Saccharomyces cerevisiae S288C: one gene and its partner. The protein of the gene in region 1 interacts with the protein of each later gene in a pairwise test. Each region holds a gene or a part of one and is shown on either strand. Other genes may lie near its edges.

Region 1 (4,392 bases):
AAGTCTTCTGAAAAATCCTCGATATTTTTTTTTAAATAAAACTTTTCTCTTGAAATGGAATCGCTAGGCAAGTAAAGCATGCTTTGGTTTAGTGGTGTTTCAGACGTAATTTTCACTTTCAGTTTCAGTTGATTTTCCACTCTAGATACTTGTGGCAAACCTGAGACCTCTACATCCAAAGGTAGCTGCGCTGCGTTCACTTTAAGGTAATCTAAAGGATTTATGTAAACAGATTGAATCGTCTCCTTTCTTCCAAATACAATCTCGTCATGAGCAGGGTTGCCTATATTTTTTTCATTAAAAACCTTATTTTCATGCTCGTCCTCTTCTTCCTCCTTCAAGGCTCTGTTACTTTCCATTTCCTCCTCCAGTGGAGTGGACACGTTTTGGTTGACATGAGTATTGTTACCGATACCTTCGAAAGACAACAGGTTGGGCGAATCACCCTCATCTGTCTTGATAAAATTTTGGAAATTAGCACCCTCATCAATATTAATATGCGCCATGCTATCATCCTGGTACATGGGAGACCCGTTCAGGAGGAAATCGTCCAAGAGCTGTGATTCCATTACGCTATTCGCGTGCAATTGAGATATATGAGGGTCGCTTCCAGGTGTTTCCGTTAAGAACTCACTGTTCTGCTGCATAACGAAATGTTCTGTTCGCCAAAATGACCTTCAATAAGTGCCTTTAAATGCACAATAAGGGGGGGAAGCAGGATCTAGTCTTAACGACCCCAAGAACGACTGTTGATCAAGCGCCGCTGTCCTTTTAAAAGGCTTTCGGCGGCTGTATTTTCTGGTTTAGAGCTCACCCATTTGAAAATGTTGAGTTTTTTGTCATGATCCACGATATAAAAAGAAATACGACATTTCTAGGGTAACATCAGAATGCCCTTGCTTTTATTGTTAGGGTTATTTTCAAAAGTAGAATTTTGGAAATAAGTCCTAGCCTTTTTGTAACACTAACCCTGAGACAAAGTGCCAGATAAGATAAGATGGATTGGCAAATAAATGGGGAAAGATAAGCGAGGTAAGACTGATAAGAAGCATATGCGGTCTATTCATGTGCATTCGCATATATAAGTCAGTAACTGTCATCCAATCGCTCTTGATGCTTATCTTGTAGGGCAAAAAATCTTTGAAGCAAAGATATGGTGACCGTGGTGGCGGAGACATTGACGAAAGAGTCCTTCGAGGAGTATGGGACGATAATTTCGCCAGATGAAGAGATTTCAAGGATGCAAAACCTTGAAAAAGGTGCAAACCAGGGAACAGCGATCAAATTGCTTCAAGTAAGCCAGGTAGAGAATAAATCTACCAGTAAAGTTCCCAATTGGAACCTATTCCGTTGCTTTCCACAGCCGCACCTGAATAGAGTATTCACTCAAGGCTCCAATCAGGCGATTTCTCATTCTATCAAAGTCCTCGAAAAGCATCCGTGTAGTACGCAGACGTTTGTGCCTATGGGGAGAACGTCAGCGGAAGTAGCATACTTGGTAGTAGTCGCTAAAGAAATTGGAAATAAGCCAGACTTGTCTACGTTGAGGGCTTTTACATGTTTGGGTAATCAGGCCGTTACCTATGGCTTAGGTACCTGGCATGCGCCCATGATAGTACTTGGCAAGGAAGAACATTTGGATTTTTCAGTCTTAATCTACGAAAGTCTGGACCCTGACAGGCCCGAGAAGGACTGTGTGGAAGAACACTACAGCGATGGCGACGTTTGTATTATCATCTAATTCTGCGACTGTGGGCGAAGTAAATATGTAAATGTTCATGTATTAGTAATTTCATAGGTTTACGATTATCGACATAAAATCTCCGCTGAAAGTTGCGGTGCGATAGAATACCGCGGATTTTGGAAAATTGCGTTTGCTTTTCTTATCACATAAATTGAATTTCATAAGTTTTGGCTTATCTTGGATAAGGTACATCGTGAAAGTATCACAAAGATTGGATAGTTTCGTCAATTGGTGAAGCAATAAGTATAAAATGGGGACATTTACGCATGTAGTCTTAATTCTTCACTTTCTGTGCAGTTGATATCACTTAGAGTATGTGTCATAGGCACGGTAAAGAGCACTGAACAATGGTGAAGATAAGCTTGGACAACACTGCTCTATACGCAGACATCGACACGACTCCTCAATTTGAACCTTCCAAAACTACTGTAGCTGATATTTTAACAAAAGATGCCTTAGAGTTCATTGTTTTGCTGCATAGAACTTTCAATTCAACACGGAAACAGCTTTTAGCCAACAGAAGCAATTTACAATCAAAGTTAGACTCTGGTGAATACCGATTTGATTTCTTGCCGGAAACCGAACAAATCAGGAACGATCCTACATGGCAAGGTGCTATCCCAGCCCCTGGTTTGATCAACAGATCCAGCGAGATTACTGGGCCACCATTGAGAAATATGTTAGTCAACGCTTTGAATGCTGAAGTAACGACATATATGACTGATTTCGAGGACTCTTCATCTCCAACTTGGGAGAACATGATTTACGGACAAGTTAATCTTTATGATGCCATTAGAAATCAAATCGATTTCAAGACACCAAGAAAGGAGTACAGGTTGAAGGATGACATTTCAAGACTGCCCACTTTAATTGTCAGACCTCGTGGCTGGCACATGGTGGAGAAGCACCTTTACATAGATGATGAACCGATTAGTGCTTCCATCTTCGATTTTGGTTTATATTTTTACCATAACGCTAAAGAGTTAGTTAAAATTGGTAAAGGACCTTATTTTTACTTACCAAAGATGGAGCACCATATGGAGGTAAAACTATGGAATGACATATTCTGTGTTGCACAAGATTTTATTGGAATGCCCCGCGGTACCATTAGGGCCACTGTTCTGATTGAAACTTTGCCAGCGGCCTTCCAAATGGAGGAGATTATCTATCAAATAAGAGAACATTCAAGCGGTTTGAACTGTGGTCGTTGGGACTACATATTTTCGACCATTAAAAAACTGAGAAACTTGCCTGAACACGTTTTGCCAAATAGGGATCTAGTGACTATGACTTCACCTTTTATGGATGCTTATGTGAAAAGATTGATCAATACATGTCACCGTAGAGGGGTCCATGCGATGGGTGGTATGGCTGCCCAAATCCCCATAAAAGATGATCCAAAGGCTAATGAAGCTGCAATGAACAAAGTTCGTAATGACAAAATTAGAGAAATGAAGAATGGGCATGATGGGTCATGGGTAGCACACCCAGCATTGGCACCGATTTGTAATGAAGTTTTCAGTAACATGGGTACAGCAAATCAAATATATTTTGTCCCGGATGTACATGTTACATCATCTGATTTATTGAATACGAAGATTCAAGATGCTCAAGTCACTACTGAGGGAATCAGAGTAAACTTGGATATTGGCCTACAATATATGGAGGCTTGGTTAAGGGGATCTGGTTGTGTCCCAATTAATCATTTGATGGAAGATGCCGCTACTGCGGAAGTATCACGTTGTCAATTGTACCAGTGGGTTAAACATGGTGTTGTCTTAAGTGATACCGGTGACAAAGTAACTCCAGAATTGACCGCTAAGATATTAAATGAAGAGACTGCAAAATTGGCTTCAGCAAGTCCGCTGGGTGAAAAGAACAAGTTTGCCTTGGCAGCCAAGTATTTTTTGCCTGAAGTCACTGGTAAAATCTTTAGCGACTTCTTGACCACTTTATTGTATGATGAAATTATTAAGCCAAGTGCCAAACCAGTTGACTTAAGTAAATTATAGAATGTATACGTACATAACCTGACGAATATTCGAAGAATTTTAGGCGCTGTTTTAACGCATAATCCAATCAAATTTGAGCTGATAAGGCCTGATAAGGTATGACAAATTGAACTCATATTTTTTCTCCATGCCAGATCATATTTAAGCCTTTGAAGCGAGAATATGTAAGGAAACTGAATTACTAATTCTTACCTCAGGAAAATCAAAAGAACAAAGAAAAACTAGCTAAGCAAATTATCGAACGATGGAAACAAGAATACTTGTTGTGAATCCTAATAGTTCGAAGTCAATGACGGTGTCCTTGCGGGAAACCATTGAAAAGACTTTTTCAATGGAATCATGTAAAATCAGTTATTTCACAGGGCCAGACACGTCGCCACCACAAATTGATGGGCAGGAAACAAGTATTAAAAGTATGGAGGCCTGTCTTCCCCTCTTAATTGATGACCAGGAGTCGGTATATTACTTTCAGAAATTCAACGGGATATTAATTGCCTGTTTTTCAGATCATCCTTTGGTAGCAAAGATAAAGGATAGAGCTGCTAAAGAAAAAGCAGATGTTTCTATTGTTGGGTTATTAGATAGTAGTATTAATTATTGCAATTTGGTTGGAAAGAAGTTCTCTATTATTACTTC
Region 2 (4,358 bases), on another chromosome or scaffold:
ATAGAGGCTCGATGTACTGGAAAGAGAGTTCTTCAACAACTAAGTTGTCAGAGCAACCAACTCACCAAGATCGAGAGCAATTGTGACATGCTTAAAATTCAATCTAACGTAGCCGACCGAAAGATTGACGAACTTGCCCATGAAAATAGAAGCCTGCTTGCATTAAAATCACCCAACCCCTTCAGGAAGAAAAGGGAGAGAGAAAAGCGAGACCAGATCTACAATTTGAAGTTAAAGCATCGTCACTTACAGCAAGAAACTATGAAAAGAGCCCAAGATTCTGACAAAAATTTAGCCATAAATCTAAGTTCTGAATATGGACGGTATGGCCAAGGGGTGGAAAGACAGCGTATTCTTAGAGATGCCCAGAAGTATCAGTTTGAAGCCGATGAAGAAGATAACCAAATGGAAATCGACTTGTACGGAAACCTAGAACAAATAAAAGCGGTGAGTGGTGACTTGAAAATTATGGCTCACGCTTTTGGCAGAGAGTTTGAAGCACAAAACACTAGAATGTTTGACATCGAGAACAATGTACAGCAGGCAGATAATGCTTTACAGGCCAAGCGATATAGATTGGAGAAAGTGATCGGGAAAAGATGGTGATCTGTTATACACACAAAATATCGTGTATAAATATATTGAATAAATAGTTTCTAAAAAGGCATACGCAGATATTCTTGCGAAAGAGAAAAAAAAAAGAGCGAGGGGGACATTAGTACTGAAGGTCTCAATTCTTCTTTGTATTTTCTTTCGGAGTTGTCAGACAAAGCTTTCTCTTTCCCATAAATAAAGTGCATTCAAACATCGGCAGGTTTGTTTTTCCCAGTTGTTACGTATTTGTTTCCCGTTCCATTCATGATCTTAAACTGGGTTAACTGAAAAATCAACATGATTTTGTGAAAAGTAAAAGAGGGTAAGAAAGATAGATACCGCTGTCGTGGGACTATATTTTTTACAGTACCAAGTCTACTTGCTTCTCATAAAGTTGATAAGTTATAATTCATATAATTTCATTTGTCAAAAAAGATTTTAGTTACAAAACGATATCAAAGTTCAATCTTGTTGGGAAAAAGGAAAACATTATGAAGGGTTTCCGGTAATCACTGCGTATGCCACACTATTCCTATAGAATTGTCTTGATTGGGTGCTTATGCTGCGGAAAAATTATATTCTGCGCTTGCCTTTTATATTAAGCGTCACAACGCCCTTACCAAGATCGAGCGGATTAAGACAAGAGTGTATCTCAAGCGTCCGTATATGTTTAAGTTGAAAAGGATATTTAGTAAGAATAATTCTACCCTACAAACGATATTAGTAAAAAAAAAAATCAATAATAGAGTTATTGTACAAACATGTTCTGAAAATTGGAAGCATCACATCGTATGCTACTAGAGAAAATTTTTACTATCCTTTTTTCCACAAGCCCAGCCCTAGCCCGATCATCCTATTAATTGTCAGACCACCGAATGCTATCCCGCCACGGTTGATATAACGAAACTCTTTACTGCTTTGGGTCAAATATGCCTCTTTTCCGCATTTTTTCGGAGTAGTTCATTGCCGCATACATACCGCAACTTGGACGAGGATGTCCTCCTTCTCTTACTTTTTTATTCGTTTCCAATTTGTTTCTCGTACCGTTCAAGTTTCAAGCCTACAAGAAATGTACACGACATGGATGCGTCAGCCTGATTCAGATATGACAAGATTGTTCCTGCGCATATGTGAATATGAGCGCACGCAATACATTGAGATCTTATTTGGGTTTGTAAGTGCAAACTTAATTTACTTTGCTTCCTGCCGGTTTTGATGTGCACCTGGGAACTTAAATAGCCGCCAAAAGAAAAGCAATCAGAGCGGCGCGGCGCAGACAAAACCCGAAGAGTTTCCTGGGAACGGTAGAGGCCTTGGTAGTACCTTACTAACGCCGGAGAGGATGATTGATACGCATTGAAATCGTACAGAAAACTTGGGGCAAAGCGCTCTTACCCCAATATTCTCACCCAAACAGTGGCAATAAATAAAGAAAAGGTCATCACTTTTTTTCGTACTCTTATCCGTTTTATTTTATTTTATTCTTTTTTTTTGAGTGGAGAATCATTAAGAATAAAGGGTACCTTTTGTAAGCACGATGAACGAAGTTACTTGTTCCATAACTGGTGACAACCCAATTCATAAGATCAACAATGGATTAGGCTTGAAATGGAATAATCTGGGTAAATTCTCTGATTTTCAGACTAACGATAGCGCCGCGCGAGATGCTAGAACAATAGATTACATCTTTACCAATTGTCAAACCGGCAGCAGTATTGGTAAGATAGATTTTCGGGCCGCACTACCGGCAGATAAATCTCAACATAGTGGTGTCAGCGAAAAAGAATTTTCAAGACTTGAGAACCAGTGGTCAAAGGAATTCTCTTGTTTCCCCAAGAATAAAAATGCTGATGTGACCAAGCCCAGTAGAAACAAACATGAGAAACGCTCCGCTAATTTGCACAATAGGTACTTTGCACAATATTATAGTACGGCATATCAGCAAAATCGTATATATCCTTGTCGAATATCTTACAATGAACACTCATCTGTTTCTAATGGCTGGGAATTTCAGTTCAAATCAATCGAAAATCAGTTACTAAATGAGCTAAAGATAGAAAACAATGTAGAAGAAAAAACTGTTGGTTATGAATATGTGGCAGAATACGAAGAAACAATTGATTTCATGCATATGCTGTCATCCGTACCACAAACATATCAATTCCTAAAATCAAACATCTACATAACGGAACGGGACCCATATAAAATAGGATGTGTACTAATGGACAACGGTTCCAATTTGAACGAAGTAGTAATGGCCTTTGAAGCAGCCATTTCACAAGATCCAAGCCATATAAATGCATGGTTGAAGTTAGGTATAGTTAATTTTGAAAATGAAAGCGAAAGCAATGGAGAGCTTGCTTTGCGAAATTGCTTAAATTTGGATCCAAATAATACAATTGCATTGGAAAACTTAGCAATTCACCATATAAATCAACAAAATGAATCAGAGTCATTGAAACTTTTTCACAAATGGATTCTTTCAAAATTTTCGAAGGTTTTCCAACCTTCTGCGGGGGAAAACAAAGATAGCATTAATAAAATTCCGAAAAAGGCCCATTTGGCGCATATTCTAGAATCCCTGTTGAATATGGGTATAGAAAAAAAAGATCAGTATGATATATATTCAGTATTATCAATCTTATATTATTCGGATCAGAAAATAAAGCAATCTCAGAAATGCTTAGAGTTTTTACTACTGGAAAAGCCCAATAATGGAACAATATGGAATAGATATGGTGCTATTTTGGCCAATACTAAGTCGTATCACTCTGCGATAAATGCGTACAATAAATGCAAACAACTAAGACCGAATTTTACAAGGGTTCGTTATAATTTAGCGATCGCCTACATGAATAAGGGTGACTATGTAAAAGCAAGCAAAATGCTAATCGAAGTTATACTGTTACGAAGTAAAGGATATGAACACAACAAAGCAAAAATGCAAAACAAATTTATGCAAAATTTAAAAAATGCTCTCATCGCTTCAAAAAATTTTGATTCACTTGATCTAATAAATGGTTCTCATAATACAGAATCGTTAATATCAACCTTAAAAGCTATTTATAACAAAATGGATTAGGTTTTAGTTAATTTTTTTGCTATATAGTGCATTCAAAATAAAAAAAATTAAAGCTGAAACAAACCAAATATGCTATTGGACGTTCGAAAAGCTAATTGCGTAAAGGAACACTAAACACAGCAAGCTTATGCTAGTTCTTCTCAAAAATATAAGTTCCTCTTGCAAGAATATGAAGGTAATTTCACTTTATCGCGCAAGTGCATATTTCTGAGTTTACTATGTGCTTCGTCTGAAACCTCTCATTATCTACTTAATATCGGCTATTCATCTCACGTATTCACGTAATATTTGATTTTTGTACTACTATTTCTCTCTGTCATACGTGCATGATACATTTCCTTGTTCAAATTAAAAGAGTCACCGTCAGCCTCTCAAAACAAAGAAAAAAGATACCCGGCTGAACATGAGTATCAATCATGAAATATATTATATACTTGTATTTGAGCATCGTTCAGTAGCAATCAAGCTCATCATCGTAGTGATTGTTCTCCTTCAGTTTTTTTTAGCACGAAGTCGGCAAATTGATAGGACATGGGCCCATACTAATAGAAAGGAACGGTTCAGAGAAATGACAGCTATCGGGAATACTGATGATGCACTTGATACTAGTACAGCCGCAAGTAAAGAAAATGGAAAAGGTAGACTCAGGGTTCAAAAAGCTTGTGAACTTTGCAAGAAGAGA

What was found.
Region 2: the proteins of DAL7 (region 1) and PEX9 interact in a two-hybrid assay, tested with the Saccharomyces cerevisiae proteins (2 studies listed by BioGRID).

The regions. Positions count from the first base shown.
Region 1 is NC_001141.2:412,379-416,770, reverse strand, and holds DAL7 (malate synthase DAL7), read left to right. Parts: upstream 1-2,091; coding exon 2,092-3,756; downstream 3,757-4,392. Other genes in the region: MGA2 (Mga2p), read right to left, coding at 1-647; DAL3 (ureidoglycolate hydrolase), read left to right, coding at 1,154-1,741; DCG1 (Dcg1p), read left to right, coding at 4,001-4,392. UniProt on the Saccharomyces cerevisiae protein: Allantoin metabolism-specific malate synthase involved in the recycling the glyoxylate generated during allantoin degradation by the ureidoglycollate (UG) hydrolase reaction.
Region 2 is NC_001145.3:308,077-312,434, forward strand, and holds PEX9 (Pex9p), read left to right. Parts: upstream 1-2,131; coding exon 2,132-3,676; downstream 3,677-4,358. Other genes in the region: SPO20 (Spo20p), read left to right, coding at 1-606; STB4 (Stb4p), read left to right, coding at 4,080-4,358.